Daphnia pulex: one gene and its partner. The protein of the gene in region 2 binds, or shares a complex with, the protein of the main gene of each other region. Links are inferred from orthologs where the notes say so. Each region holds a gene or a part of one and is shown on either strand. Other genes may lie near its edges. The genes, in order: phosphatidylinositol N-acetylglucosaminyltransferase subunit H-like and phosphatidylinositol N-acetylglucosaminyltransferase subunit A-like.

Region 1 (14,708 bases), on a different chromosome or scaffold from region 2:
GATGCATAAAATAATAGAAATGACTTTTTTTTTCTCAATTACAGCCTTGGTGTCAAGACAGTTTGTGGAGATGACCAAATCCAGAATAGAAGGTCTCTTAGCTGCCTTTCCTAAACTAATGTCTTCAGGAAAAGCTGCTCAACAACAACACACTTTTGTTGAAACAGAATCGGTTAGATATGTTTATCAACCTTTAGACAAAGTGTATGTATTACTTATCACAACGAGGGCATCCAATATCTTGGAGGATTTAGAAACTTTACGTCTTTTCGCTCGTGTGGTAATAATTTATAAGATCTTCTCATTAGTAGGTTTGCTAACATTAAATTCATGTAGGTACCTGAATATTGCCGCACTTTTGAAGAATCCGAAATCCGGGAAAATGCCTTCAATTTGATATTTGCCTTTGACGAAATCGTTGCTCTTGGCTATCGCGAAAACGTTAATTTGGCTCAAATTCGAACATTTGTCGAAATGGATTCACACGAAGAGAAAGTCTACCAGGCTGTTAGACAGGTTTGGATTTTCTCATTTAAGTAGTTGTTTGGTCTTATTTCACTATTTTTTTCCCCATAAAGACACAAGAACGAGATGCCAAGATGAAAATGCGAGAGAAAGCCAAAGAATTGCAGAGACAGCGAGTTGAATCTAATAAAAGGGGCATCAAGTCTCCCATTTCATCTTCTGGAGGTTACGGGCCATCTCCCATGGCTGCTTCGATTCCGACTGAGCCTCCTAAGCCAACTTATCAACCAGCTGTTGTGTAAGTGAATTCGCTAATTATTTTTCCGCTCAACTAGTTCTTAACTGACAGCGTGGTACTTTTCTTAGAAAACCTAATGGCCCGAGCAAAGCCCTCAAGCTTGGGGGCCGTCTGAAGGACGCCGAAATATTTGTTGACCAACTAAAATCAGAAGGCGAGAATGTAAACTCGTTCCAGTCCCCCGCTTCCGTAGTCCAAGGTGGTTCTGTGAGCTCAAACAAACTGCCGCCATCAACCATCGCTACCGAACCGTAATTTACAATACCTCAATGCTTATTAAAATTTAACGCTTGACTGTAATTTCTTTTATCCAGAGTCCAACTTCGAATAGAAGAAAAGCTTAGCCTCAGTTGTGGACGTGACGGTGGATTACACAACATGGAAATTCATGGCTTACTAACACTTTTTATTACTGATGAGACTTACGGTCGAGTCCGCGTACAGGTAAAATGATTTCCTTTGCATTGTGTTTATTTTCTTTTTTCAAAATTCGACTGATTTATCCATAGGTGGAGAACAGAGATAGTCGCGGAATTCAAATTCAAACTCATCCTAACGTTGACAAGGAACTATTTCGCACTAAGCAGCACATTGCATTGAAGAATGCCACAAAACCGTTCCCATTGAATACGGATGTTGGTGTACTTAAGTGGCGTTTCCAAACACAAGACGAAAATATGATTCCACTGAACAGTAATTCATCATCTTAATTACGTTGTCTGGCAAAATTTAATGATTTAAAAAAAATTATAGTTAATTGCTGGCCAGCTGAAAACGGACGTGGAGGCTGTGACGTTAATATTGAATTCGAACTTCAAGATGATCGATTAGAGCTGAACGACGTTGTCATTGTCATTCCGTTGCCGTAAGACTTTTTTCTATTAGGCTCTAGGTGCAACTCATCATCTTTCGTTTATTCGTGTAGTCATGGTTGCGGAGCACCGAATGTTTCCGAGTGTGAAGGAGAGTATCAGTATGAACCAAGGAAAAATCAGCTTTCGTGGCAACTCCCCGTTGTGGACTCTTCCAATAAAAGTGGAGCTATGGAGTTTTCATGTCAGGGCCATGCGAATGACTTCTTCCCAATCAATGTCAACTTCTATTCGAAGCGCTCCTATGCTGAAATATCGGTACGGTTGCAATCTGTGTTTATTTATTCCATTTGTCTACAATTTTCCCATTTTCGTTGTAGGTAAATGATGTCGTACTAGTAGATGACGGCACATCGGTGAAGTATGCGGCCGATTCCAATTTTTTTACGGAGAAGTACGAAATCCTTTGAATGTTTTGCTTCTGAAATCCGTGGAAGTAGCAAAGTGTTCGTGATTTTGCCAGTTGCCCCTCACCCCCTGTCGTTAGCGTCAACACAAACAAACTGATGAACTCCTTGACTGTCAACTGGAGGAGAGGGGTGAGGAATGAGAAAGACTTTAGGTTACCATCTGTGGTTAATATTTAATGCCAACGTGCAGTTCGTTTTTCCCGTCTCTGAATCGATTCAACCTCCTCAAATTCACCCTTTTTTCTCCCACCTTTCATAACAAAGCAATTTAAAGCGCTGAAGTTTGTTGAGCCGCCCAGTAAATATGATATATTGAAATCTAAAAGTTTTTTCTTCCTTTTTTTCTACGTGCATATATCTTTGAATCAGCAGCGGCACTCATGTTTGGGCGTGTTTTCTTTTCTCTTTTCTTTCATCTCTTTTTCTTTCTCCGTTTGTTTATGTTTTCGATCAGTTAAGAGTTCAGAAAACTCTTATCATGTGTTGTCGTTGGAACAGTGTACACTGCTGGGGTTGCATGGCATACAGTATATCAATTAAAAGCTGTATTATTTCCAAGTCTTCTGGATTTCTCATACCTTGTTATCTTGCTTGCTTTTTTATCTATGAAATATTAGCCTAGCTTAAAGAAGAAGAAGGAAAGAAACAGCATTGAAAATTAACAAACCACATCTGTATTCAAAGCTTTACCCACAATTTTACTTCCTTTTACTATGTACGTTTGACTAAGAGAAGATAAAAATCCGCGCATCTATTTGGATGGGCGTACATTAGCAGCTACCAAATTGCGATTTTCAGTCTCTTTTTTCGCTTCGTCAAGTATAACTCCTCCTCCCAATGAGACGATTTTTCCGGCCAAGGATACGCCCAACCATTCCGCCAGGGCCAAGCGAGAATTGCCAACACTAGAACTTACAACAGCAGTGTATGATGCAGCTGGTGGAACATCTTCGATATCCTAAATTAATTATGTGATAAGTTATAATGATGCATGTTAATTTTTAATGAAGTTAGAGTAAACATACAACTAGCTCCACTTCCAATGACTGGGTGACGTTTTGTTTCCCATCCAAACTCCATACACCACCCTTAAGGTAGAGCATATCTCCAACTAGACGAGATTCCACAGCCACCGGTGCTGAGCAGCCTCCTTCCAGTGTTCGAAGGAATGCACGTTCAGCAACGCAACTGCAATAGTTGTATAAAATATGATGTGATGTAATATAACGATGAATAGAATTTTACTTACACTAGTAGCGTGTTAGCGTGGCTAAATGGTGCTAAAAGTTGACGAGTAGCAATATCATCTTGGCGGCACTCGATCCCGAGTGCACCTTGGCCAATGGCGTACATGCTCACGTCCGTATCAAGATATTCTGAAATACGCGATTCCCAGTTCATTCGCTTGACTCCAGCTGTCGCTAAAATGAGTGCAGCATACGTTCCTTCGTCGTCTAATTTGCGTAGTCTATCACAGAAACTCGCGATTAATGACGAAAGATTTTATCTATCGGCGAAATTATATTATACCTTGTGTTTAAATTTCCCCTTACGTCTTGGATTGCAAGGTGGGGAAAGTGGCGCTTCAATTGAGCTGCTCGGCGCAACGAACTCGTTCCTAATAAATAATGACGGGTTTGAATACTTGATCACTCTTTCTATTGAAATTTTTCAACTGACCTACGACGCTGCCACTTGGTAAAGTTGCTAATGTACACCCGGAAAACTTGGGAGCCATTAAGACTGCGTCTCTAGGATCTTCTCGCCTAAAATGCATGTGAGTAAATAATAGCATGATCATTTTGGTTTTAAAATTACTTACTCTAGAATGGCACCGATGACCATGCCTTCAGGAAGCGTCGTCGGCATGTCTTTAAGTGAGTGTACTACGAGATCGACCTTATTATGTTCCAGAGCCACCTCCAATTCACGAGTGAACAAACTCTTTTCGCCAATTTGTGATAATGCTCTGTCAAGCACCTCGTCTCCGATGGTGGTCATCGTTTCTTTAAATGATAAAAGTTGTTTTATCTGAATTAATTTCATGAAAGGGGCCAGCGAAGCGCAAATATGCGAAAATATTACCGAGATGAAATGTTTTGTCTTCATAGTGTTGAGTGAGGAGATCGAGCACATGATTGCTTTGAACAAGCGCAAGCTAAAATCAAATATAGAATAACGTCGCAATTTTTGAAGTATGCGCTAGCGGAAATAATGATTTATGAGAATAATACCTGACTTTTGCGGGAACCGATACGAACGGTTGGTTTCGTCAAATCCGACATCTTCTTCAATGAATATGGTTCCTTGGTTCTTTCTGGGAAGGGAAACGTGATGAAGACTAGAATCTGATTAGAAATTTGATTGTGAATATGCGATAGTATTTCATAAACAAGATGACCAAGCAGTGAGGCAGCGTTGCGTAGAATAGAATATTTTGCGCTAAATACAAGGATTATAAAGAAAATTCACTTGAATATTGATAGGTCGGTGAGCAATTACACATTGACAGAACTTAGAATTTTTTAATATTTAATTGCTTGTATATTTTATCTTTCAGTTAGGTTGAATTATTCTGATTTTGGAATTTCTTTTAAATTAAATTTAGTGTGTGTAGTGAACTATAGATGGACATTTGTATGATGTCTGCTACAAAACAACAAATTCCCCCCCCCCTCCCAGTGTCATGTCAGATTAAAACACCATACAATTAGTGATTTTTAAAAATGTATGACGCCTATGAGGCGTTACCAATTTTGGAGAAATTACCTCTCCAAATTGAATCTATAGCTGCTTATGGTAATTTTACTTTAAATACAGAACCACTGTTTGATTTTAATTTATCAACTAGTCAACTGTGCCTTCTTATTATTTAACTATCCTTCATCTATATTATATGAATGGGTTTTATTTACATTGAAAATTTGTTTTCAGATGAACACTTGTTAGTGGGAACCCAACAAGGACATTTGTTGATGTACAGTGTTCTTCAAGGCGCAAGTAATGGTGGCAGTGCTGAAAGTTCTCTCAGCTCACGTTGTGAAGTCCACTTGCTAAGGTCCAACAAATATTTTGCCAAAAAACCAATACAACAACTAGCTGTTGTTCCTGAACACCAGATTCTTATCAGCCTTTCTGGTGAGCTTAATGTATTTAAGTGCCATTTGGTTTGTATAGGAATCTTATAACCAATTCTTCTTTATACTTTTCAGATTACCTTGTGTCTGTTCATGATTTGACAGTGTTTAATTTTCCAGTCATAACGTCACTTAATAAATCCAAAGGAGCCACATGTTTTAGTCTTGATGTCAAGGTAATATTTTTTCCCTTCCCAGAATCAACCAATGACTTTGATGGAAGTGACAAAATTAAACTTTTGTATTGTTCATTTAGAGACAAACTTCTTTGACTGGGGAGATATCAGTGGCAGTGAGGCTTTGTGTTGTAGTGAAGAAAAAACTGCAGCTTTTTTATTGGAAAAATCGAGAATTCCGGGAGTTAGGGCCGGATTTGTCGGTTTCCGATACTCCTCGGACTATTGGTTGGTGTAGAGAAACTCTTTGCTTAGGTTTTAAGGGGGAATATTGTTTACTCAAGGTATTTTTCTTTTGTAATTAACGATAATAGATTTGCTTAGGCAATAAATTATATTTTTTAACTTTTTATAGCTGGAAGGAGAGCAAAGAGATTTATTTCCCACTGGAAAACAGCCTGAACCTTTGGTATGTGCCTTACAAGGCGATAAATTCGCCTTGGGAAGAGACGAACAAACAATTATGATCGATATCGATGGCAATCCTTGCACCAAGTATACACTGACGTGGTCCGAGAGACCGATCCTATTAGGTAAAAGATACCCCAATATTGTTCAGAATATAACCTAAGTCGACTAATCAAAATGTTTGCAGTGGAGGACTCTCCATACATTCTGGGTGTGTTGACGTCTTGCATAGAGATTCGAGCAGCAGAGCCACGGCTCCTTGTCCAGCGATTAGAATTGCCAAAGGCCAAGTACATGACGTCAGTCATATCGAAGAACGGACAGATTTACGTTGCATCTCCCTCTCATGTTTGGTGTCTACATTTAGTCCCTGTACATTTGCAATTACCTCGCTTGCTTGAAGACAAACATTTTCAGTTGGCCATTCAGCTTGCGGTATGTTATAAATAAATTTTTCATAATTTTCGAGATGATGGGAAATAATGAGATTTTTCGTTTATGATTAGAACTTGTCTAACGAACCACAAGATATTCGCTCGCAGCAAGTTCAACACATCCAGTCGTTGTTTGCTTTCAATTTGTTCCAGAAACACAACTTTGACGAATCATTGCAGCTATTTTTCAAGCTTGCTACTGGTGATTAAAGAGAGAGCAAATGTATGAATTGAAATTATTTTACTAAAGAAAAAACCGATTGAATTTACAGATCCTTCTTACGTGATTGGTCTATTTCCCGATTTATTACCAGTAGAATTCCGGAAAAAAGTGGAATACCCCGAGGCTGTTCCCGTTTTGCAAGGTAGAGACCTCGATCTCGCTGTGTTGGCCTTGATTAAATATCTCACTGAGGTTGTTACAATTTTTAATATTTATTACCTACAAAGAGTTAATATTTGTTATTCAATTGTAGGTTAGGAATGACCTTATGAGTCAGAATGTCAAAACAGGAACCAACATTATGGACGTTGGTTCAAGCTTGAAGCTAAGACGTCAACTATTGGAAATAGTCGATACGACCTTGTTGAAATGCTATTTGTTGACCAACGATGCCCTGGTAGCTTCTTTGTTAAGACTACGAGATAACCATTGTCATTTAGCAGAGAGTGAACGAGCGCTGAAGCGCCATCACAAACATGCTGAGCTTATAATCCTTTACCAAACTCGCGGCCTTCATCGGAAAGCATTGGAGTTGCTTCGGAAACACGCAACTAGCTCAGAAGATTTTGGATCCCCCCTTGCTCATCATGACCGAACTGTACAATATCTCCAACATCTAGGTAGCCTAAACATGACTTTCTTTGAAACTGTAATATTTTTAAAAAAGGAAATCTTGTTGACTAGGATCGGAACACACGGACTTAATTTTTGACTTCTCCTCGTGGGTTATACAAAGCCACCCAGAAGATGGTCTTAAAATTTTTATTGAAGACTTGCCTGAAGTCGAGGAACTCCCACGTGCCAAAGTCTACGATTTTCTGTATAAGAACCATCGCTCTTTAGCTTTACCCTATCTCGAACATGTTGTCTACGAATGGCAAGATTCGAACGCTCTCTTCCACAATGCCTTAGCCGTGCTCTACAAAGATAAAATTCTCAGACTTGAAAAGCAGTTACAAGAGGATAACAATGACCCGGCAATTAAATGTGAATACCAAGATTCAAAAGCAAAGTTACGATCGTTCCTTGAAATTTCTCGGCACTGCTCTCCCGAGGCTATACTAGTTCAATTCCCATACGACTGTAAGTGACTTTAAAGATGTTTATGCTTTGGCTTTTTAAATTCTGCGTAATGTTACATTTTGAATTTTTATTATTATATATGTAGGCTTGTTTGAGGAGAGGGCCATTTTACTGGGCAAAGTTGGTCGTCACGAGCAAGCATTATCAATCTATACCAACATTCTCAAAGATTTACCGGCAGCAATAGATTACTGTAATATCTGCTACCAGTCTAATTCACCAGCAAATAAAGAGGTTTTTTCGTTAATGCAAAATTTCTCAATATTTCAACGACAATATATTCCTTGGTTGGTTTTTAGGTCTATTTTTACTTGTTGAAACTCTTACTGCGACCCGATGATGCTGTCAAAATTCCCGGTCTAGCTTATCCTACTGAGGAGCCGCACCAAAGGCAACCTGATATCGAAAGAGCACTGGAAACATTGGATCGATTTCCGTCGCGTTTAGACCCAGTTAAGGTAAGACCAGTTGTTTCTTATATACTTTAATTGATTAAGTAAAATTATTATTCATCTCCTTAATCACTAGACATTGCAAATCTTACCTGCTTCCATACCTCTTTCGGAACTTAAACGTTTTCTTCAGAGGAGTCTAGAATCTTTTGCATCCCAACGTCGAGAGCTGCAGCTTTTGCGTGGTCTGCTTTATGCCGAACATCTTCAAGTATTATTTCAAAATCCCTGTGATTAATAATACATTACTAATTTAAGCATTAACATGTAGGTTCACGAACAGAGAATTGAATGTCAAAATCAGAAAGTCGTGATAACAGAATCAAATATCTGCCACGTGTGTAAAAAACGCTTCGGAAATCAAAGGTAAGAGTAGAAGTTTTTTTTTTCACTTCAACATGGAATTAAAAATAAATATGTAAATTTTTTTAAACAGTGCTTTCGTTCGATGTTCCAGTGGAGAAATAGTCCACTTTTCATGTCAAGAAAAACTCATTTAAACACAATTTTAAAAATTTATTTTGGCACAATTGTTTGCGCTCTTGCATAGTTACAATACACCAATCAATCATGTTGCACTTTGTTTACTATTTGGTGAATGCTTTTATAAATATTTTTCAGGCAATCCAGTCTAGGAAGTGTATGCTATTTTGTGTAAGAAAAATCATTCAGATATGTTTTTTATAATGAAGAGATCTTTGAGTTTACCTGAAATATGGGAAGAATTTCTGTTCCATGTCCATACTTGAGTAAAATTGCTAAATAAAACAAAACCTGATGCTGACATGGAAAATAAAGATTAGTATTACACAAAAGCACTTATTTCAAAAGAATGTCTTATACTGCAAGATAATATTTCAATTTCTTCAAGACCAGGAGACAATTCATACCATTGTTATAGTTTCATTAATAACGACTCCCTGTATTCTTTCCCATGAAATGAACTTTGCAGATTTCCTCCCAGTTGCAAATATGGTGGTAATCTGCAAGCCAACTGTTTTCACAATGAGCAATGATTCTAATAAAATGATACAAGTCAGTTAAAAGTAAGTAAACACCATTTGGTTAATAATAAGTACCTTTTTTCACTTTTGTATGAAGTTTAATCAAGGCTAAAATAGCTAAAACAAAGCAAAGCAATGCCAGGATGTGTGTGTGATGATGATGTAAACCAAGATGAAGAAATATAGCTGTTAAAAACACTGTGCAAGACAGCCATCTCTCAAAAAGGAATGGTTGGCTATCGATTACATATTCTTCAAAAATAGTCCCATGATTATAAGTAACTTTTAATTGGTTCCCGTAAACATTCAAATATCTCGTACGATCGTCAAACATTTGAAAAGCAGACCATTTGAAAAATGCACACAAAAACTTTGCAGACCACTAACCAGTCTCGTTTTGTTGATCATCCGTCTGCCTGGTAGCTATGCTGCAATTAGGTTCTATTTAATATTAATTAATACATTAGTAGTTTATAATATTTAATATTCGATTTAAAAAATTAAATAATTTTATATTAATTTTATATTGTCTAACAAGTGACGCATTAAATAATACCTAATAGATTATAAAATAACTTACAACCCCGAAGATTCCATGCGCCGCCAATGCCACTGACGAGTGACTCTTTAGCAGTACCTTCTGAAACAAGAACGAAAGCACACACCGCGCTGCAGACTGAAGGGAAGCATTTGGACAGAACCACGTGGAAGAAGAGAACAGCTTTTAGCGTTCTCATTTTTGGCTTTCGAATTTCTTATTGAAGACATACCTATATAATGGGTTTTCCAGGTAATTTTTTTATTATTTTACTTTATTAGAGTCATCTATTTTGTATGTTCATGTTATGTTGTATAAATAGTCAAGATTTATTTATTTTAAATTGCATGACATGCCATGCTTTTGAGTTTAAATGTAGACATGTTCATCAGCCATTTTATGTGTCTGTTTTGTTAAAATTTATGTGTTAAGAATGCGCTAAATGTATGGAATCCAAATCAAGTTGACTACATGTATTTGTTTTCCAAATTACAGCATTTAGCCCACGTGGAGGAGGTGGCATGAGAGGCAGAGGTGGAGGAGGTGGCTTTGGTGGAGACCGAGGAGGTGGCAGAGGTGGATTTGGTGGAGACCGTGGAGGTGGCAGAGGTGGATTTGGTGGAGATCGTGGAGGTGGAAGAGGTCGTGGTGGCTTTGGTGACCGTGGTGGTCGTGGTAGAGGAGGATTTGGTGGAGATCGAGGAGGTGGACGCGGACGTGGTGGTGGCGGTCGTGGCCGAGGTGGTGGAGGCCGTGGTGGCATGGGCGGAGGAAAGAAAGTTTTTGTCGAGCCCCATCGCCATGCTGGAGTGTTTATTGCCAGAGGTAAAGAAGATGCTCTAGTCACAAAGAACATGGCCATTGGTGATTCAGTGTATGGTGAAAAAAGAATAGCAGTAGAAGAAGAAGGTATTTCATTTAACAGCTTTCTTAATTAGCTTGCAGTCTTTAACAGTCTTGTTCTAGGAGCTGAGAAGATTGAGTACCGTGTCTGGAATCCTTTCCGCTCAAAGTTGGCTGCAGCTATCTTGGGTGGTGTTGATCAGATTCACATGCCTCCTGGAAGCAAAGTTTTGTATTTGGGTGCTGCTTCTGGGACAACCGTCTCTCACGTATCTGACGTTGTTGGACCGGTAAACTGATTTCATTAATTTTTGCACTTAAGAATTATATACAATAACCTTGTAACTACAGGAAGGTCTTGTTTACGCCGTCGAATTTTCTCACCGTTCTGGTCGTGACTTGATTAACGTTGCCAAGAAACGAACCAACATTATTCCAATTATTGAAGATGCTCGTCACCCTCACAAATATCGTATGCTGGTAAGTCTGATGAAAACAACTCATCCGTCCACTTCAAATAATTTGATTTATTTGCTATTTAGATTGGTATGGTTGACACCATTTTCGCCGATGTTGCTCAGCCCGATCAAGCACGTATTGTAGCGCTTAACGCACAATATTTCTTGAAGAATGGCGGACATTTTGTTATTTCTATTAAGGTATACTTCCTTCTAAACTTTAAATTTACAATGGTACTTAATTGTTAACTTGCGTAGGCTAATTGCATCGACTCGACTGCCGCTCCCGAAGCCGTATTTGCCGGTGAAGTCAAGAAAATGCAAGCTGAAAAAATGAAACCGATTGAGCAATTGACTCTTGAACCTTACGAGCGTGATCATGCTGTGGTTGTTGGCATTTACAGACCGCCAGTAACTAAGAAATGAATTTGTTTACACAGTAAATTTGACAGAAAAGAATGACTGCAATCTTGTGTTTGTATTTTACTGTGAGCATCATCCGCAATTAATACAGTTGGAACCGTTTTACTTTTACCGCTAAAATTTCTGTAAATTACCACTGGAAAAATTAGTTAGTGATCCTTTTGTTCTCAAGATAAAGTAAGGTCTGGAGTGACCTAGTAATATTTACAAGCATAAAATAACATAGTTAATATAGTTTTTTCCTTGTGATAGGTAATCTAACACAAGTAAGAAATTTGATTTAGTCTTATTAGGGTGATCCAGCCGTGATGAGGCGTGCGATGTGTCATCTGAAATTGAACAACAAATCTTGCGTATGATACGTATGCACCGACACAATTTAGGAATGTGCTGAAGAAGTGCATTGCAATAGTAAATGTTATTGTTAATCCTAAGAAATACGTAGATAATTTAATGGTATGAGCATGAGCGACCATGAGTGTAGTGCGTAGTTGCGTAGTTTTGCATTTTCCAATTTGTAAAAATCGAACTCGATATGAAATTAAATCGATAATTCGTTGATAAATTTTTTGATACGTCTATAAAACGTCCAACACTGTATTGTTTTATTCTGATATAATCTAGTGCGGACGACGGTGCAACGTAAACAGCAACCTGCGGCCTTGTCCAAATAAGCAGTTGAGCTAACGGTAAGTGTTTTTCTTACTCAGGAATTCAGGATTGTATAAATTCTCTGACAAAAAATGAAATTGTGCGTTAATTTTTTTATTTAGAAAAAGAAATGGCAGAGTGTAAACCATTAAGTCCTGAAGAGGTGAAGGCAGCTTGCAAACATGCTGACCCTCAGACAAAAGTAATATTTTCATACTTTGATTCTTAAAAATGTTATGGGAAAATGTTTTTTTTTTCAGGATTTTCTCTTTCAGCAAACCATGTATCGTATTAAAGATCCTAAGGCCAGTCTTGATTTTTATACTAGAGTATTAGGAATGTGTTTACTTAAGCAATTCAACTTTGATGAAATGAAATTCTATGGGGTGCGGATTGAACACTTTTTCAAAAAAAAATGTTCAAAAATCGATTACCATATTTGATCTGAAAACAAATTGATAATCGATTCGAATATTGAAACCAAGTTGAAAATAAATTCAAAAATTGAAAATGTTTTGAAATTGATTTCATAAATTGATAATGATTTTGAAAAATGAAAATGATTTCGAAAAACTAAAATGAATTTGAAAAACTAAAATGATTTCGAAAAATGAAAACGAATTTGAAAAATGAAAATGAACTTGAAAAATGAAAATGAACTTGAATATCCATACAATTTCGGGAGTGCGATATGACACCACCCTACTCTATCCCCAGCTCTCTCCATAGCCATCTCCTATAGCCACCCCGAGACAACCGACTAGCCATTGATGGCTATGTCGCTGATTCCAGCCAGCTAGGCCGTCAGCGATACTCTCAGCCCTTGCCGGGCGGTGCTGGCCACCGCTGCCGCCACAACGGCAGCCGCTAAAGTCTCTCTCGACCGCAGGCCGAGTATTCTACACAAAAATAGATTACACGATCCAACGTGAAAAGTTTCATGTTCCTGCAGTAAATGACACACAGCCTACCCAGCAACGATGAAGACGGAACGGCCGAATGGGTGGCTTTCACCTGAGAAAAGTTCCAGTCACGCCTCGGTATGACGTCCTCGAGAAGTTCTCGTCATTCCACTAACTGCCAACTGCCCGGAAAGAAGTGTTCTGGTACGTTTCGCTGGATAGGCCTATGCGTCCTGTACTGCTGCGATACTCTGCCGTTCAATCCGACGAGAAGAAGAAGGCGGACACGCCTTCTTGCTGACGTGGATCCTCATGTTGGTGCTGGCCCTGCTGGAAATTATCCGCTATCTAAGCGGATTGGGGAGCTGGACTTCTCTATTGTCTCTACGTCTTTGCCATGTGGTCCACTTGCGCCGGAAGTGTTACCTACCCGATACTCTACGGCATTTATATAAAATTGGGCCATTCCAAGGAAGAGTTCGTTGGAAGGATGGCTCTGTCTCAGCTGCAGCGACGGATTGAACACCAAAAATTGGCGCAACGTCTATCTTTTCTACCATCATGGAGGCAGCGGACATGGCGGTGGAGGCCAAAGAAGAGGATCCAAATGGTCATGTTGCTCATGTCCGTTTCAACAGAAAAGCTTTTTTTTTCATGGCCGGCCTCAAATAAAAGTAGTCGTATAGGAACATGAAATTTTTCACACGTTGGATCGTGTAATCTATTTTTGTGTAGGGTAATACTCGGCCTGCGGTCGAGAGAGACTTTAGCGGCTGCCGTTGTGGCGGCAGCGGTGGCCAGCACCGCCCGGCAAGGGCTGACAGTATCGCTGACGGCCTAGCTGGCTGGAATCAGCGACATAGCCATCAATGGCTAGTCGGTTGTCTCGGGGTGGCTATAGCATCCGGAGAGAGCTGGGGATAGAGTAGGGTGGTGTCATATCGCACTCCCGAAATTGTATGGATATTCAAGTTCATTTTCATTTTTCAAGTTCATTTTCATTTTTCAAATTCGTTTTCATTTTTCGAAATCATTTTAGTTTTTCAAATTCATTTTAGTTTTTCGAAATCATTTTCATTTTTCAAAATCATTTTCAATTTATGAAATCGTTTTCAAAAGATTTTCAATTTTTGAATATATTTTCAACTTGATTTCAATATTCAAATCGATTATCAATTTGTTTTCACATCAAATATGGTAATCGATTATTGAACATTTTTTTTTGAAAAAGTGTTCATTCCGCACCCCATAAAATTCTCCCTGTACTTCATGGGATATGAAAGTCCAGATGACATACCTGCTGATGAAAAAGATAGGGCCAAGTGGGCCTTATCTAGAAAAGCAACCTTAGAGCTTACACAGTAAATGTTACACAGTTTTCTCACAAATAATTTTAAAGTTGCTTACATTTATTTTTCATTTCACAGTAACTGGGGAAGTGAATCTGACCCAGAATTGAAGTATCACACTGGAAACTCTGAACCAAGGGGATATGGTATTCTTAAACCATTATTTTCCCATTGTTAAATTACATGTAATTTTCATATAATAATGTGAATGTGTAATGTTGTATTACATAGGGCACATTGGAATTATGGTACCAGATGTTGATGCTGCATGTGAAAGGTTTGCCAACCTTGGAGTTGAATTTGTGAAAAAACCTAATGATGGTAATTTTATTTACTAATTTTATGATGCGACGTCGAGTCCTCGTCAATACTTCATTTGACATTTTTGTTCTCCTTTGTAGGTAAAATGAAGGGAATAGCTTTCATCAAAGACCCTGATGGTTACTGGATTGAAATATTTAATAACAATCTAAATATCTGAGTGTCTGAGTCACTATTTACAGCTTTTTTCAAGTGGATTAAAGAAAAACAATAATAAAATATATGCTGTGATTTGACTATATTACGTGTTGTTAAGAAAAA
Region 2 (16,249 bases):
ATTATTATCTTGCTGATTGGCCTTTGCTCATTTTAACACCATCTTCAATGAAATTTGCCTGGGATGAAGCAGTTAAAGTATGGTTACCAAGTGTCCCATTACATCATATACAAGTATGTGAAAAGACAAAAAAAAATGAAATGTTCATTAGATCAACATTACTTTTTAAAAGGTTATTTGCTCAGGAAAGGATTACATCGACAAAGAAGTTTCAGTAACAATTTGCTCATACGACTTGCTTACAAAGAAACTAGACGAACTAGTAGCAATGAACTTCAAAACCATTATATTTGATGAAAGCCACCTCGTAAAAAGTATTATCATTTTATTTTTTAAATTTTTGTTTGAGAGTTTTTTTTTTTAACTACCAAGTTTTAATAATAGGCGGAAAATCAAAACGAACTACCGCTGCAAACTCTGTAAGTGCTGAAGCAAAGAGGGTGATTCTTCTATCTGGGACTCCGGCATTATCTCGCCCTGAGGAACTGTATAGCCAGCTACAGATTTTAGAGAGGAAACCGTTTGGGTAAGGAACTTTGCCATTTATTCAAATTCAGGAGTTTGAACTGTAGTCAACACAATTTGCTATAATGATGGTTAGACACTTCCATGCTTTCGGATTACGTTATTGTGAAGCCAAAAAAACAAAATTCGGATGGAATTATGGTGGAGCAACCAATATGAACGAGTTACAACTAATCCTTGAAGAGAAATATTTGATAAGACGTCTTAAAAGTGAGGTTCTTTCACAGCTGCCAGCAAAACAAAGGTAATAAATAGCAACAATGATAAAATGATGAGTAATTAATTATCAATTTTTCATTTTAGGCAAATGGTTGTCCTTGATCCTAATGCTGTCAAATGTCATTCGCCCTCAATGGATACGTTGGCTAAAAACATGACAAAGGAACATTCCAAACCAATGGAAAAACGGGGTGTTCTACTATCTTACTATTCCGAAACGGCAAAAGCCAAAAGCAAAGCTGTGTGGTAATTTTTAGAAATGTAGCTACATTTAAACAAAATTATACTTATTTTCCTGTCTTTCCCATCTGTCTTTTCCAGCGACTATATTGCAGACTTATTGGAGAATGGCAAGAAATTCCTCTGTTTTGCTCATCATCAATGCTTGTTAAATGACATTAGTCGGTGCATTGAAGAAAAATCTAAAGCAGGGTAATAGACCTTATAATTGAATTTTATAAATTTTAATTAACGTTATTTTAAAGTTACATTCGGATTGATGGATCGGTCTCTTCGGACGAGCGGAAGAAGTTATGTGATGTTTTTCAAAATAAGGAAAGTGTTCGGGTCGCTGTGCTATCGATCACAGCTGCAAACACTGGATTAACTTTGACGTCAGCCAATCTAGTCGTTTTTGCTGAACTGTTTTGGAATCCCGGTGTATGCTAAAAAAAATATTAGAAAGAATTCAGAATTTTACGTAAGCCGTTATTGATTTCATACAGGTCTTAACTCAAGCTGAAGATCGCGCTCATCGTATTGGTCAACGGGATAGCGTCGTAGTCCAATATCTAGTAGCAAGAGAAACTGCCGACGATTATCTTTGGCCCCTTGTGCAGAACAAGCTGGATATTTTGAGCAAAGCTGGACTCAGTAAAGATAACTTTCATGAAGCGGATACTAGATATCTCTCCGTAAATTCCGACGAGCCCCTTCATTGCATTCTATTTCTATCCCTTATTTATTTATTTTTTAATATTTCAGAATGCCAAACCGGCCCAGGCTTCCATTATTGATTTCTTGGAAGAATTGTCGAGTGAGGATTTGTTGGCACTGGATGAAGCGGAAAAAAACTACGGCGAACCGGAGAGCAAAAGGTCTAAAGCAAACTAAGGCAAGTTTTCGTTAAATTCTCAAGTAAGGCAAGATTTCGTTAAACTCTCAAAAAAAATTTACGGGGCGGTTGTCGAAATTACAGGGTCAAATTGATGAATTTGAAATGAGAATATGTATTTTTTTGAATCATGTCACTTCCAAGTCCGTTTGCATGTATTCAATTAAGGCACAGACGTCAACAGCTTTTTTCAAAATAAATGAAAGGGTTTAACAGAGAAACAGTATGGCATGAAGATAGATTTGGGTATTAAGGAATCAAAGAGAACGGCCAATTAATTGACTTTGAAGTGAAAATTGGGTGGGCAGGTGTTTTAGCTGTGTTCAAAACTAGGCAAAGAGAAGGAAAATCCATCATCAATCAATATTTCTCGAAAGAAGTGTCGACAGAGACAGTGAGTAAATAAATAAGAACTGGGAAGTGAAAAACGTCAAGAGAGACGAAAAAGTATGAAAGAAAGACAGAAAAGGGGAGAGAAAGTCGAAGAAGAGAAGAGTAAATAGTGAAAAAGTATTGGGACGACGAGAGTCGAGAGCGAGTCTCTTCTCCCTCGAGTAGCGCCAGGTGATTTAAAAGCACTTGCGGTGGACAATGCCAGGGCCGGACTCGTCGTATTCCTGCTTGGAGATCCACATCTGTTGGAAGGTGGACAGAGAGGCCAAGATGGAACCACCGATCCAGACGGAGTATTTGCGCTCAGGGGGAGCGATGATCTTGATCTTGATGGTGGATGGGGCCAAGGCGGTGATTTCCTTTTGCATACGATCAGCAATACCGGGGTACATGGTGGTTCCGCCGGAGAGGACAGTGTTGGCGTACAGATCCTTACGGATGTCGACGTCGCACTTCATGATCGAGTTGTAGACGGTCTCGTGGATACCGCAAGATTCCATACCCAAGAAAGAGGGCTGGAAGAGGGCCTCGGGGCAGCGGAATCGCTCGTTGCCGATGGTGATGACCTGTGCAGGGGAAGAAGGAGAAGATCGTTACCACCACGCCCGTGACCGACATGCCTAATTGCTGGACAGGAGTCGAAAAAAAGGGGAAGCTCGTCATACCTGACCGTCGGGCAATTCATAGGATTTCTCCAGAGAGGTGGAGGCAGCAGCAGTGGCCATTTCCTGTTCAAAGTCCAAAGCGACATAGCACAATTTCTCCTTGATGTCACGAACGATTTCACGCTCAGCTGTTGGTCATCAAACCAGAAAAGAAGAACCAAAAAAAAAAAACAGCGTCAATTTCCGCTTCAAACAAATTGTCGTGAAAGTTGGATGGGATTTTGAAGGAGGCTGTTTTTTACCGGTGGTGGTGAAGCTGTAACCACGTTCGGTCAAGATCTTCATCAAGTAGTCAGTCAAGTCACGACCAGCCAAATCCAGACGGAGGATGGCGTGGGGCAGAGCGTAACCTATATTTCAACCGTAATATATCGTTGATAAATTTGTCTCATCCATGACGATTAATTTTTGTTTCGAACCTTCATAGATGGGGACGGTGTGGGAGACACCATCACCGGAGTCCAAGACGATACCAGTGGTACGACCGGAGGCATAGAGGGAGAGGACGGCCTGGATGGCGACGTACATGGCCGGGCAGTTGAAGGTCTCGAACATGATCTGCATTGAGTGGATAGAGCCATACGACCAAAAAAGGAGGTTAGTGGACGTCTTCTGTGGCTAGCATTGCGGTGATTTCGCGTGTCATTTTTGTTTTGGGGTTGTTATTCGCACCTGGGTCATCTTCTCACGGTTAGCCTTGGGGTTGAGGGGAGCTTCAGTCAAGAGGATGGGGTGTTCCTCGGGAGCCACGCGCAACTCGTTGTAGAAGGTGTGGTGCCAGATCTTTTCCATGTCATCCCAGTTGGTGATGATACCGTGCTCAATGGGGTATTTCAGAGTCAAGATACCACGCTTGGACTGAGCCTCGTCACCGACGTACGAGTCTTTCTGGCCCATACCCACCATGACACCCTGTAATAGTTAAAACAATTATTAGTCGTCGCCATCCAGTTGTCCGACAGTCGGCCCTTTCCGTTCAAATCCCATCCCAGATGTTGGGAGTTGTCTATGCAATAACGGGGAGGCCAAAGTTAAAAGAAGGAACGACCGGCACGAATGCCAGTGGGGGAGCACTAGCGTGGGTCCACACCAAGTCATCCGATCCCTGCCACACATGGTAGCGGGAGGTATATAGAAAAACAGAGATGAGAACAGGGGGGGGGGGTGGACGAAGCCAGAAAGATCTTGGGCTATTTTAGCACCAGACCTTCCTCCTTCTGGTGTCGTGGCTAATTTTAGCCAGCATCCGACTTCCCGCCCCCACGTCGCATCCTCCACCATCTCCTTTTATGGAAGTGCCGCTCTAGGTTTTTACATTTACTCTGCTGTTTAGTTATCCCCCCCAGTTTTGAGATCACATTTTACGGGTTTCAGGAAGTAGGAATAGATTTTTTTATATTTTTCTCTTCTTTCCAGAAGAATCCCGATTCTTTAAAAATCAAAATGGGCTTTTTTTTTTTGTTCTACGCTTGGAGTAAAATTTCCGATTCCCGATTTGTTGTTGCTTGTTTGAGACGAATTTTTATACCTGGTGGCGAGGACGGCCGACAATGGAGGGGAAGACGGCACGAGGGGCGTCATCTCCGGCGAATCCAGCCTTGCACATACCGGATCCGTTGTCCACAACCAAAGCCGCAACATCGTCGTCACACATGTTGATGAATTAAGTCTGGGGGGCGAGTGAACTGGAAAAAACTGCGAAAAAAACAGAACACACAAAATGAAGACAAATTAGATCAGACAAAAAAAAACAATAACAGCGGTGCAAATATCTTTTTCTCTGTTGTCCCTGTTCTTTTTTGTGAAGGAGCTTAGGGAGTGACGGGGCAAAGTTTTTCTAGAGCTTCGTCTGTTTTTGGAGGATTTTTTGACTGGCTTATTGGAATATGTGGAACAACTTTTTGATATTTAACTGGCTAGTTGGAAACACTTGTACTTGTCTACGATAAATCACTGTGGGGAATTCAGAAAAAGGCAACCGAAAAGCGACAAATAATTGCCGTTTTTAATAGTTTTCAAAAGCGGAAATCGTAAAAGAGTGAAAGAAGATTGCGTCGAAACGTGAGCTTGCATCAGATGGCTGTCCATGTCAAGGAAACCAAGAAAAAGAAAAGTATGTAAAATAGACAGCGGATGAGAGCCACTCTGTGCCTTCTAGAGAGATTTGTGATCGTTTCCAGATGCTCACACACGTTTACAGCGCTACGGCAACGTACGACTGGACACTCAGAAAAGTTGAAATAGTGAAATGTATGCGTGAGATTTACAAGTGCAAAAAAAAATTAATTTTTGATTGAAACTAAATGGAAAAAAACGGCAAATTTTAAATTGAAAGGATCCCTATTCCTGATCGCGATCGATTCCAGAATTTCCATTCCAGAATGGAACTAAACACTGCTGTAGTTATCAAACTCGCTAAACACTTTTTGGGGATTTTCCGCTCTCACTATTTAAAGTTGTAATGTGTAGAATAATGCACCACGCTATGTACGCAATACGTAAAAGAAGAAGCTGGACAAGAATATATTACCAGGTACGTTTGCTCTGTTGAGCTAACCGACTGGGGACGGTCTGGTGTACTGACAACTCGGAACTCCTCGTCTTATAAAGGGCTTGGGAGTGGCTTAGGGTGGTGGTCCACTGGCTTCCAGACGGACGAACTGGAGGAGGCCAAAAAGAGGGAGGAGGGTGGTGAAAACGAGAGAGTAGAAAGAAGAAAAGAGAAAGAGAGGGAAAGAGAAAGAGAGAGAGAGGAGTGTGCTTCAAGACGAAAATATCTTTCGCTTCTTTCGACGGGCAAGGAAGGGATCCCGCGTCTTTTTACTATACGCGCACACGAGGACCAAACATGGGCCTTTTACATCCCCCCTCATCGTTGGGAACCAACCTATTCCCTTTCCATATATTGAGCATTCGCTCCTCAAAACTACAAAGTTTAGGGATAAATGAGCATTTTTCATTATCAAGTTCTAATTACCAAAAGGTCTAATTGCACCGATACATTTGTTAATTAGAACAATGATTTCAAACTTACTTTGATAATTGATTTCAATCTTGTGCTTGATTGCGATCCTCGATGATTTGCTTCAATTCTACGCCCCCGACATTAAATCTGCAAATAATCTCTCTTTGCTGATTCTAATTTTCAAAGTTCCTTGTAATTCAATTTCTTGAAAGTTCTTATCTCTTGTTAGCACCGAAAGGAATTTTACTTTCGTTCTCTTGAAGGCCAACTCATAGTGAAAATATTTTGACTAGTAAGAGGTCATTAGCTCAATGATTGGACTTCAGACTTCAGACTTGTAGCGGTGCTGGACTGCAGACCGGCCATTTAAGGGTTGGGATTTGCGGGTAACGTGAACGGTAAATTGAATTGAATCGAGACGGACAAGAAGCTGTAAATCATTGAAAGAATTCGTCAAGTTTTTGGCCTCCTTATTTTCACTCAAAAGCCTCTAGGAAGTAAGCAAGCGAATGAATGGTTGTCGTGACCATAAATGGCGAGGGACGCCGTTTGGACTCCGGCGGCGTCACGACGCGTGGGGTGGGATGGACGCAAACCGTTTGGAGACCGAGGAGGAGGAAAAAGAGAAGAAGGATGGGAGAGGAGGTGGGGGGGGGGAGGGAGTGCCGAGTGAGAGATCAAACCGTAGAGGAGTAGATGCAACTTTTTGTTTTTGTTTGACTTTATTTTCTGTGTGATCCGCTATTTCTTCGTGGTTCTGGCGCCATTTTCAAAACAATATTTAGGTTTCTTTTATTTCATTCGTTTACATTAAGAAACCCCAGTGCTACTCTATTCTCTCTCACGAACGCGCGAGTTTATGCAATGATGAAATCCAGCGTCCCCACTCGAAAACTCGCGCGTGAATGTCTGAAACCACATAGTCTAGGAGTAATCGTAGCACAAATTCGGTCTAGAGTCTGCTGTGCTTCTTTCGGTTCTATGGTTGGCCATCCGACCGTGTTGTATAAACGTAATTTCAAACCGCGAAAGTTCTAAAAATGAAGTAGTTGATACACACCAACAACATGGTTTGTTTCAAAGCCATCGCGTCAGAGGACAGAGAAAAGAAACACGGAGGGAGAGGGGGGGCATGCAGCAGCTTGATTTGGTGGGGCCTATGTTTAAACGCAGTCGCTCCCAACTTTGGAGCGGGGTTAAATTTAGAACTTTTCTAACCGAAAATGCCCAGCAACACACACACGCAAGACATACAGACGTACAGACATATACACTACACACACACACACACACGCACACACAGGGCACTCATTGGGAGGTTGCCCATATGTGGCAATACTAACGCTCTATCAACCCCCTTAATTCCGCCTTAATTCTCATCATTCCTTAAAGTAGACTCAGTCATACCCTCGACACTTTTCTTATCGACTAATTACGCCTCTCAAATATTACCCGTCGCGTATGGTGTGCGCCGCCTCTTCGTTAAATGCTCGACATCTTGCGATAATGTATTAACATACTATGTTTTATACTTTTCCGCTGTACGGAATCTATAGGGAAACCGTAGAAAAGAGCTGACAATTTATCGCGGAAGTTGTTAGTACTGTTTCTATTTATGCAGCAAGTTTTCTCCTGCCTACTTGGCACCGATCGAGCTTCCTCCTTTTTTTCCTGTTTTGAAAGAGATCCAATGATCGCTGCGAGCTCTTTCATTCAGTATGATCGTATCCTGTTTCCGGATGATCGGATCGTTGCAGTCGTTTTGCCGGTCTAATATTCTACTTGGACTAAATGATACGTTTAATCTGCTATTGACCGACTCGAGTGCAGCGATGTCAAATAAGATCGGGTGACCAGACCTTTTCTTTTCTCCATCGCTCACTCTCCGCAGCGTGAAACAAGGCCGTTGAGAATAGACTGAGCATCAGACGGCCGCGCACCCGGTAGGGCGACCGTTTGGAAACAGGCAACATCCCAAAGACAAGCATCTAAAGGAGAGCAACTGCCACCATGTCTGTTCCTCGTACCAGAAATAACACACAGGAGACCAGATAGCTAGCTGAATCGAGGTCAATTTTTTTAACATTTCAAAAACGCAGATCTGTACTGCAAATTGTTGATTGACGCCAAAAAATGTAATCATGCGTGTCCTGCAAATCTCGTCCTTATAATTATCCATCAAAGTCCCTTTTTTTTGTTGTTGATTTAAAAAACAAAGATGCATTAATCAGACATCAAACTATGTCAAACTAAAATTTGGCCTATTAAAATTCACAGAAATCAATTTACACAGAATCAGGGAAACATGTTGATAGCACCTGGGAAATTTAACTCCGATGCATTTTGTAGTTTGGTAGCTAGATTTCCAGAGAAACTCTAAGAACACGCGAGCATGACTAAATATAGGTGCGACACCGGGTCTAATACCTTATAAGCATGCCGTCTCAAACCGCACGGTGGCAAAGCCAAGGCAAGGAATCTTCAAGGTGTTTGTGTGTTTTCTTCCTTTTTTTTTTTTTTTTTGCTTGACCGCCCTTGACGTAGTAGTTTTATAAGGATTACATCATAATCCTTTTTCGTTATTGTAATCCGGTGCGATATCGATCAAATGACGCGGGTAGAGCCACTCGAAAAACTGCAGCAGTATGTGACATATTGTGAAGATGAGAACGAAAAAGGGACCCGCAACTGGCCCACAGTTTCGGTATCTGCTTATAAGGGAAAATTCCAGGAGTCACATTTTTAGAAATTTTTCGAGCTTATCACATCATCATATATGGGCGTTATTTTTACCTGCAGAGAAGTTTCCCAACACTCAAACTTGGCTGCTGTTTGACGTCGTCGTAAACTAATTGCGTGCGAGTAGCAATGTCAACCCAGTTGTACGTGCGATGAATGAATTGATGACACTCCCATGGAGACATACAAGTTCCTTTCAGGTGGGAGTCGATGGCGTCATCCAGTGCTGAGACGATTGCTAAATATACAACGAGTAATTAAAGTGCCACTCAGCACTTTTAAATTGGGAAATAATTTTGTTTACCGCTGACGTCAGGCTGAGCCATGCGAATCATTTCTGGTGGGAGCACCTCAGGAATACCACCAACTTTAGTACTAACCACCTGCAAACTGTTTTTGTGTTAGTTAACAATTCGAAGAAAGATTTTATTGCGAAGGAAACTACTAACCCGCAGGCTGCAGCTTCCACAATAGCTATACAGTAAGCTTCAGTTAATGAGGTGTTTAAGAATATATGACCTCGCAGTAGTGTCCCGTGAACTTCAGATTGATCTAGTGCTCCGAGCAACGACACTCTTTCATGCAGCCCTTCTCTCTCGCGGACTTGTTCTAGTACGAGTCGCTTTGGTCCGTCACCTCCAATCAGAAAGTGAACCTGATTTAGGAATTGCATAACACTATTTCTGAAAGTAGTCTTAATTATTTGAAAATTACCTTGGGGTACTTTTTACAAATAATGGGAATTACGGAAGCTAGTAGGTCAATACCTTTCCTGTAGACTAGGCGGCTTAATGCAACAATTATTACTGAAATATTATAAATTATGCTGTTAATATTTCAGTAATTTGAGATTTTGCAAAAATCTAAATACTTTGATCTGTCTCCTTTTTGGTAACATCTGGTTTAAATAATGTTGTGTCTGTTGCATTTGGTATTACTGAGACATGGTTGGCAGGAACTTTAGCTCTTAATACTGTGTTTTCCTTCCTACCACCAGAAACAATTAAAATTTGATCGTAAGAATAATTTCAAAGGTGTTTGCATTTACCCTGTATGTGAAACACATATGCAGTGGTTTACCCCTGACAATGTGATTTCTAGAAGTTTATTGGTGAGAATTGCAGAGATGTCAGCAAACCCATTTAAGGAATGATCTGTGAAAACAGCCTGTAAATAATCAAACTCGTATTTACTTTGAAATTAATAATGATATGCATATGCTAGTAGTAAAGTTACCTTGAGACCCAACAATCTTGCTATTACAATACCTTCATGTGCTAATGTAGAAAAGGCTGAGTGCCCATGTACTATTTCAACACACTCTCTAATATAAATATTTCTAAAAATGGACAAGGAAGCGAAAAGAGTTGGGAGAACGACTTGGTCATGCATAGTTTTGATAGGAAGATAGTAAACCTGCAAAACAAGTGATTAACATTAGAAACCTCATTTGTTTAATCTTTGTTTTTCTATACTTTAAGGCCATTAGTCATATAGCGAACTCCGACTCGATTTCCGTAAGAATGAGTGATGACGATAACTTTGTGTCCAAGAGTTATCAGACATTGCGATAGGGTAAAAATGTGCGACTCTACTCCTCCCAAGTTTGGATAAAAGAAATCCGAGACCATGCTATCATAATAAGAGAAAAGAATTATTTTATGAAAGTTTTTCACAAACAGTTTTGCCTTACCAAATCACATGTCTCATTTTTTTTTTGTCTTCTGTTTTGACGTTTAAACGTCAAACAAGCTTGAAGTCCCTTCTAGCTAGGCGCTGCAGTCAACGCACTGCGCAAATTTTTTATATTGATTTGATTTTAAATATGGACTCCATTTAGTCCATTTTAAAACAATTATTACAAGCCGATGGCAAGAACTATTGTTTAAATCAAGATTTCCTGTTTCAAATTCGCAGGAAAAACTACTTTGTAAATGTATGTGCATTTCCCTACAAGAGCTATGGCATAGTCTAAGTAACCACGGAATAACCGCAACTACTAGGAATTTGCAGTATAGCGCGGGAATTTATTTACATGATTTGGCGATTGATCCCCTATTCAATAGAGTGTCCTTGGCGTAGGCAAGAAAATCCTTCGTATTTGTGTGGGTAGACTATTCTGTGCGGGTTCACCTTGGATGCACAAGATCTCTATTTATTAAAGTTAACTGAAACTTCAGCGTTTTCCGTCTAGCCGGCGAACCCTTATCCCTTTTTTGTGAGTTTTACATTACATGAAAGAGTCAGAAAGTGTTGAGTGGACACATGATGCTTTTCTAGATTGGATCCATCCCTTTTAAGAAAAGAAACAAACAAATGGCCTAAAAGGAAGAGAAAGAATAAAAAGAAAGCCAAATGGGCCAGTGGCGCTGCTGCTGTGGATATCCTTTGGTGTTACCCGCGGTGCGCTGGTCAAACGCAACCCGCACCTCGTCCGTGCAAGGTGGATTTTGATTTCGTTCTAGTGTTCTGTGTGCTGGTTCTCAGTGTCCGTTCATGTGGGACGTACCGTGTCAATGGTGCCATGCGACTAAAATGCATTAAACAACGTCGCCATAATCTGGCCAGATTGGTAAGCTGTTCGTTTATGTTTTGTTGTTTTGTTGTTGCTGTTGTTTTAATCAACGATTTCGAATGAAGCTGAAATCACGTGAAGGCCGTGAGATGGCATTTTCCTAAAACGCAAACAAATTTTATTACTTATCTTAATTGGTAAGAGTGTAGTCGTGTACCGGAACGTGTTTACTAATTAGAGCCATATACAGAATTCCCATTACTGTGTTATTTCTTAACTTTGAAGAAACAACTAGGTCATGATCGGCCAGCATCTTTTTTTTTTTTTTTTTTTTTTTTAACATTAAGAAATCTGAAAGGGGAACTCATAGCTCTGTGCTGGATTTGGCTCTCTACCTTTCACTCGGCGCCACCTTACTGTATGCAAATGGAATAACAAAATTGATTGATGAGAAATCTCTTTTTATGATATCATGCAGCGGGTTTTTCCTTGACATTTTCCAGGATTGTCTAAATATGATGCATGTAGTTGATATTTGATCCATTTCCTTACATACGAATCTCGTCTTGTATAATAGTTTGTGCGGCGGAGACTCGAGTCGAGGGGACACCACAAGGACGACAAGGGCCAGACGTCTAACCCATCAACAAACTCTGCAAAGGAGCAGAGTCCCTCGACGGAACCATCGGATGGAAACTTGGAAACAGTCACGTCCAGAAGACTTGGTCGTGCGGATCATAAGGATGCTTTTCAAGACACGGTGACGCATTCATCTGTAGATTTTTTTTCCCTTTTTTTTAAATCTTTCTAGTTGGTAAGGAATCTCGGGTTCATTCGTCTCCGAACCTGTAATGACGTGTTGACCGTAGTTCTTGATGATTCATGAGGTACTACGGTACCTTTTCAGATAAAGGTCAACACTTTTTGAAGATGACAATAACATTTTACGCTTTCACACGTTTTTTCCTATTTTTGGAAGAGTAATGTCATTGTAAAACGACACTGTTTGGTTATGCTTTCTACGTACGCGACCAGCTGTTTCCGCTTTGCTGGACCTTTTTGAAACATTTTACATAAGTTGTGGAAACAACTTCTAAAAGAACAGCGGGCGAAGTAAATACAGGATAAATTAAGTCTAGGATAGAAAATACTTCACAGTACTTTTTTCAAAATTCAAATTTAGATTTAGATTTTGTTTGACAAGCGAGTGATGTGCAACCATGATAATTTATTCTGATTTTTTCCCCTGTTCAACTTCCAGTACGTCGTAGTTGAGCCTCCACCGGAAGTTAACGACGAATGTTCCAGAGAAAATAAACAATCTAAACATTCAAAAGCTGTTGGCACGTACTTCCGCGATGGTCGACGAAAGATAGACTATGTCCTAGTCCACGAAGAAGTTAGTCTGGCACCTAGCCGAAGCAGAAGTCACAACACTCCACACCAGTCATCGACGCCCTTGCCATTTCGCCAGGAAGGGAAATCGCCACAGGGCGGAATGCTACCAATGTTATTGACGTCAGCGGTACACCACAGCACACCAAAGCAGAACCGGAAGATGGATATCAGGAAGACATTTCTTGATAAACTCAAGTCACAAGGAATCGAAATCGAAGAGGTTTAATTCTTCTTCATTTAAATTTAATAATTCCAAGTATTTTCAACTCAATTTCAGACTACAACCGTAGTTGTTATTAGCATGTGTCTGCAAGTTGATCGTGAGTTGTTTAAGTGCGTAAAACAAGAGAGCCCTAGATGTTAAAGTTCAAATCCGTGTTCCAAAAGTTACGTGACGTGACGTGACAATTGAAACGAGAGACGGGAGTCACGCTCAGGAACTGGCAACTCTATCTCTCTATTGTGAAATTCTTTTTAAATACCAGAGAAGTCTGTCAAGAGATGATAAGAGCTCTTAAAAACAGATTTTTCCTTTTTTTATGCAACTTGTTTAACATTTTTTAAATTGATTTGCAGGAATTCACAGAAGGGAAAAGAACTAACGTCCGATTTATCAAATTGCACGCCCCTTTTCCGGTATGAATTGCCGATCTATTTTTTATGTTGACATTTAAAGGTTTACGTAACGATGAATGTTATTCATAGTTACTGGCTCATTGGGCGGAGGAATTGGGATTTCGTGCAAGGATTTTGGTAATAAATTAATAATAGAAGTTCAAGAGAGAGAAAAAAAATGTTTAATATTCGACGTCATATTTTATAAATTTAGTGCCAGGCCAAGGCCGATGAGGATAATTGGTCTGCAAGACTTTTCAAGTCCTTCAGGCTACCAAACTGTTTCGCACAGGAAATTCCAGGTGACCCGCCTCAAGTTTGCTGCACTTACCCATTTAGACGGTCGAAAATCTCAACGTACGAACGTATTCTTTAAAATTGTAAAAGTAATTTGGTTCTAACTGATGTATTACGTACCACAGGTTGTTGGGTAATCTTGATTGCGAATCTTATTTTACATCAACGGAGCGCAGTCGAATTGTTAACGAGATTTTGGCCAGGACAACATATGGAGACCGACGGAAAGGTGAAGTCGGCATCGAGCGCTTGTTAAAAGAGGGCGTCTACACAGCCTCCTACCCTTTGCATGAGGTCAGATGAATTTTTACGACTTCCAAGAAGAAACAGAAAACTAAATCTAAAACGCCTTTGCAATAAATTCTATTTTAGGGTTGCTATCAAGAAGACAAATCTGGGAATCAAGACCAACATAAATTAAATCCTCGTCAAGTTCTGCATGGATACTGGGCCCGTTGGTCCAAGTGGCCCAAGTACCAGCCATTGGATAACGTTCGCGAGTATTTTGGCGAGAAAATAGCTTTTTACTTCGCATGGCTCGGCTTCTATACTGGATGGCTTATTCCGCCATCGATCGTCGGTGTGTTGATCTTTATCTACGGTCTACTAACCGTAGAAGAGGATCCTGCATCGACGCAAGTCTGTCACAGCCAGGGCCAATTCCCTATGTGTCCGTTATGCGAGGAGAGCCAAGGATGCCATCAGTGGGATCTTAGCGATGTTTGCACTTACTCAAAGTTGTCTTACCTTTTCGATCATCCGGGGACAGTCGCTTTTGCTATTTTTGTCTCTTTCTGGGGTAAGACTGCGATTGGTAAATAACACTTAAACTAATAAAGTAGCCTATTAATCGAACTCTGCGCTTTTAGCTGTAACGTTTTTAGAGTATTGGAAGAGATACAGCGCACGCCTGGCTCACCGTTGGGATGTGGTAGATGTTGAACGAGAAGAAATACGCCCTCGTCCGGAATTCGCTTTGAAGGTACTAAACAAGAAATTGTGTCAATGATCAAATAATTGAAGGTTGGAGACACTGTAAACTCGAGATTTCAGAATATTTGCTGCTTTAATTGAGAATGCAATTTGCTTCAGGCTCCGTCTATTGCAACCAATCCCGTGACTGGTATAGCCGAGCCGGCTTTTCCTCACTCAATCAGGCGAAAGCGGATAATGGCCGGCGTCTGCTTCGTTTTCTTGATGGTGTGGCTGCTTTTTCTCTCTCTTGTTTTTTCGTCTTACTTTACCGGCAGATTGGGTTGCAAAGCACATGATAATAATTCTTTGATGGCAGGTTTGCATGGTGATTATCTTCATCGTCGCCATCATCATCTACCGGATCGTGGTCTCCATTCCCCTCTTCCAGCACGAGACCTTGAAGTCGCAAGCTCAAGTTATAGCAAATCTCTCCGGTGCCGTCGTCAATCTAGTGCTGATTATGGCTCTAGGCCGGTTCTACGAGAAGTTGGCCTACAAACTCACCACCTGGGGTGAGCGAGTTGTACAATTTACTTACATATTTGAATTACCCAGGCGTCGCCTCAATTGAACTCGCCGTCATTTTCTTTCTTGACGTTTAGAAATGCACAGAACACAAATCGAGTTCGAGGATAATTTAACCTTCAAGGTCTTCGCTTTCCAGTTTGTTAATTTGTACGCATCTCCGTTCTACATTGCCTTCTTCAAGGGCCGTTTCATCGGCTACCCAGGCAACTATCTGCACATTTTTGGATTGCGGAACGAAGAGGTATATTATTTAATCAAACAAACAATAAGGATGTTGGCAATTAGGCAGATAATTTAGTTGTATCAGGTTAATGTTTTCGGATTTTTTTTTTTCGTGATTCAGTGCAGTGCTGGCGGGTGTCTGGTAGAGCTCTCGCAACAGTTATTCATCATAATGGTTGGTAAGCAGGTCATCAACAACGCACAAGAAATTTTGTGGCCAAAAGTTCAAGCCTGGTGGCAAAATCGAAAAGTAATTCATTTTCGTCCCTCATTTTCATGGCCAAAAATGTGATTGATTTGTTTCTTTTTTTGTTTATTCATTTTTCAAGGTGGATTTCACCCAAAATAAAGACAAGTCCAAACCATGGGAGGCAGATTATCAGTTGGTCGAAAACGCCGGATTGTTCCAGGAATACCTTGAAATGGGTTTGTTTCATGAACATCGTGACAGATTTTTAGAAGATCGGTGTTGCTGATAAATTATCATTTCTTGGCCAGTGATGCAATTCGGTTTCATCACGATATTTGTTGCGGCCTTTCCGCTTGCTCCGCTTTTCGCACTGCTGAATAACGTCGTCGAGATACGACTAGACGCGCAGAAATTCGTCTGCAACACCCGACGGACAGTAGGGCACCAGGCCAAAAACATCGGAATCTGGCTGAGAATATTGGAATTTCTTGTTCATCTGGCTGTCATCAGCAATGTAAATCTTACTCCAGTTGTAGCGATAATATTTGAAATAATTGTGATAAACTGCTTCTCATTCTCAAAACAAATTCAAGGCATACTAACATTTGGATTTTTAATATAGGCATTTCTTATTTCTTTCACGTCCGAGTTCCTTCCCAAAATTCTTTACCAATACGAGCACTCGTGGTCGATGGATGGTTACGTCAATTTTACCCTTGCCATTTCTCCTAAAGGTGCATATAAATCTAGAAATATTTGACCTTCATAAGCTTTATACCTTCTAATTTGCTTGTTACCAGGCGCAATGGCAGAGCCGTGCTACTACCGTAGCTATCGCGATGAAGACGGTAAACTGTCGGCTTTTTACTGGAAATTGCTCGTCGTTCGA

Evidence for each region.
Region 1: phosphatidylinositol N-acetylglucosaminyltransferase subunit A-like (region 2) and phosphatidylinositol N-acetylglucosaminyltransferase subunit H-like share a complex: the UniProt entries of both Homo sapiens proteins name them as parts of the glycosylphosphatidylinositol-N-acetylglucosaminyltransferase (GPI-GnT) complex. The link is inferred for Daphnia pulex from reciprocal best matches to the Homo sapiens genes PIGA and PIGH.

What each region holds. Positions count from the first base shown.
Region 1 is NC_060022.1:6,330,812-6,345,519, forward strand, and holds phosphatidylinositol N-acetylglucosaminyltransferase subunit H-like, read right to left. Parts: upstream 9,382-14,708; 5' UTR 9,297-9,381; coding exon 9,038-9,296; intron 8,977-9,037; coding exon 8,849-8,976; intron 8,739-8,848; coding exon 8,667-8,738; intron 8,604-8,666; coding exon 8,523-8,603; 3' UTR 8,460-8,522; downstream 1-8,459. Other genes in the region: coatomer subunit delta-like, read left to right, coding at 45-280, 337-516, 579-763, 832-1,014, 1,078-1,207, 1,273-1,456, 1,517-1,628, 1,689-1,893 and 1 more; porphobilinogen deaminase-like, read right to left, coding at 2,797-3,003, 3,071-3,233, 3,295-3,513, 3,576-3,663, 3,726-3,811, 3,868-4,051, 4,131-4,203, 4,280-4,330; vam6/Vps39-like protein, read left to right, coding at 4,772-4,844, 4,980-5,183, 5,258-5,358, 5,439-5,642, 5,714-5,891, 5,954-6,201, 6,273-6,402, 6,473-6,615 and 11 more; lactoylglutathione lyase-like, read left to right, coding at 12,006-12,077, 12,136-12,251, 14,031-14,138, 14,205-14,272, 14,358-14,447, 14,528-14,607. UniProt on the Homo sapiens protein: Part of the glycosylphosphatidylinositol-N-acetylglucosaminyltransferase (GPI-GnT) complex that catalyzes the transfer of N-acetylglucosamine from UDP-N-acetylglucosamine to phosphatidylinositol and participates in the first step of GPI biosynthesis.
Region 2 is NC_060018.1:6,035,260-6,051,508, forward strand, and holds phosphatidylinositol N-acetylglucosaminyltransferase subunit A-like, read right to left. Parts: upstream 10,446-16,249; 5' UTR 10,331-10,445; coding exon 10,314-10,330; intron 10,253-10,313; coding exon 10,096-10,252; intron 10,037-10,095; coding exon 9,857-10,036; intron 9,788-9,856; coding exon 9,669-9,787; intron 9,608-9,668; coding exon 9,492-9,607; intron 9,427-9,491; coding exon 9,335-9,426; intron 9,276-9,334; coding exon 9,070-9,275; intron 9,011-9,069; coding exon 8,925-9,010; intron 8,859-8,924; coding exon 8,675-8,858; intron 8,593-8,674; coding exon 8,445-8,592; 3' UTR 8,126-8,444; downstream 1-8,125. Other genes in the region: SWI/SNF-related matrix-associated actin-dependent regulator of chromatin subfamily A-like protein 1, read left to right, coding at 1-113, 173-314, 385-526, 602-769, 829-990, 1,066-1,176, 1,230-1,404, 1,470-1,658 and 1 more; actin, muscle, read right to left, coding at 2,428-2,817, 2,917-3,044, 3,159-3,266, 3,336-3,474, 3,589-3,828, 4,445-4,570; anoctamin-7-like, read left to right, coding at 11,145-11,192, 11,713-11,895, 12,397-12,753, 13,110-13,169, 13,239-13,286, 13,363-13,505, 13,571-13,739, 13,818-14,244 and 9 more. UniProt on the Homo sapiens protein: Catalytic subunit of the glycosylphosphatidylinositol-N-acetylglucosaminyltransferase (GPI-GnT) complex that catalyzes the transfer of N-acetylglucosamine from UDP-N-acetylglucosamine to phosphatidylinositol and participates in the first step of GPI biosynthesis.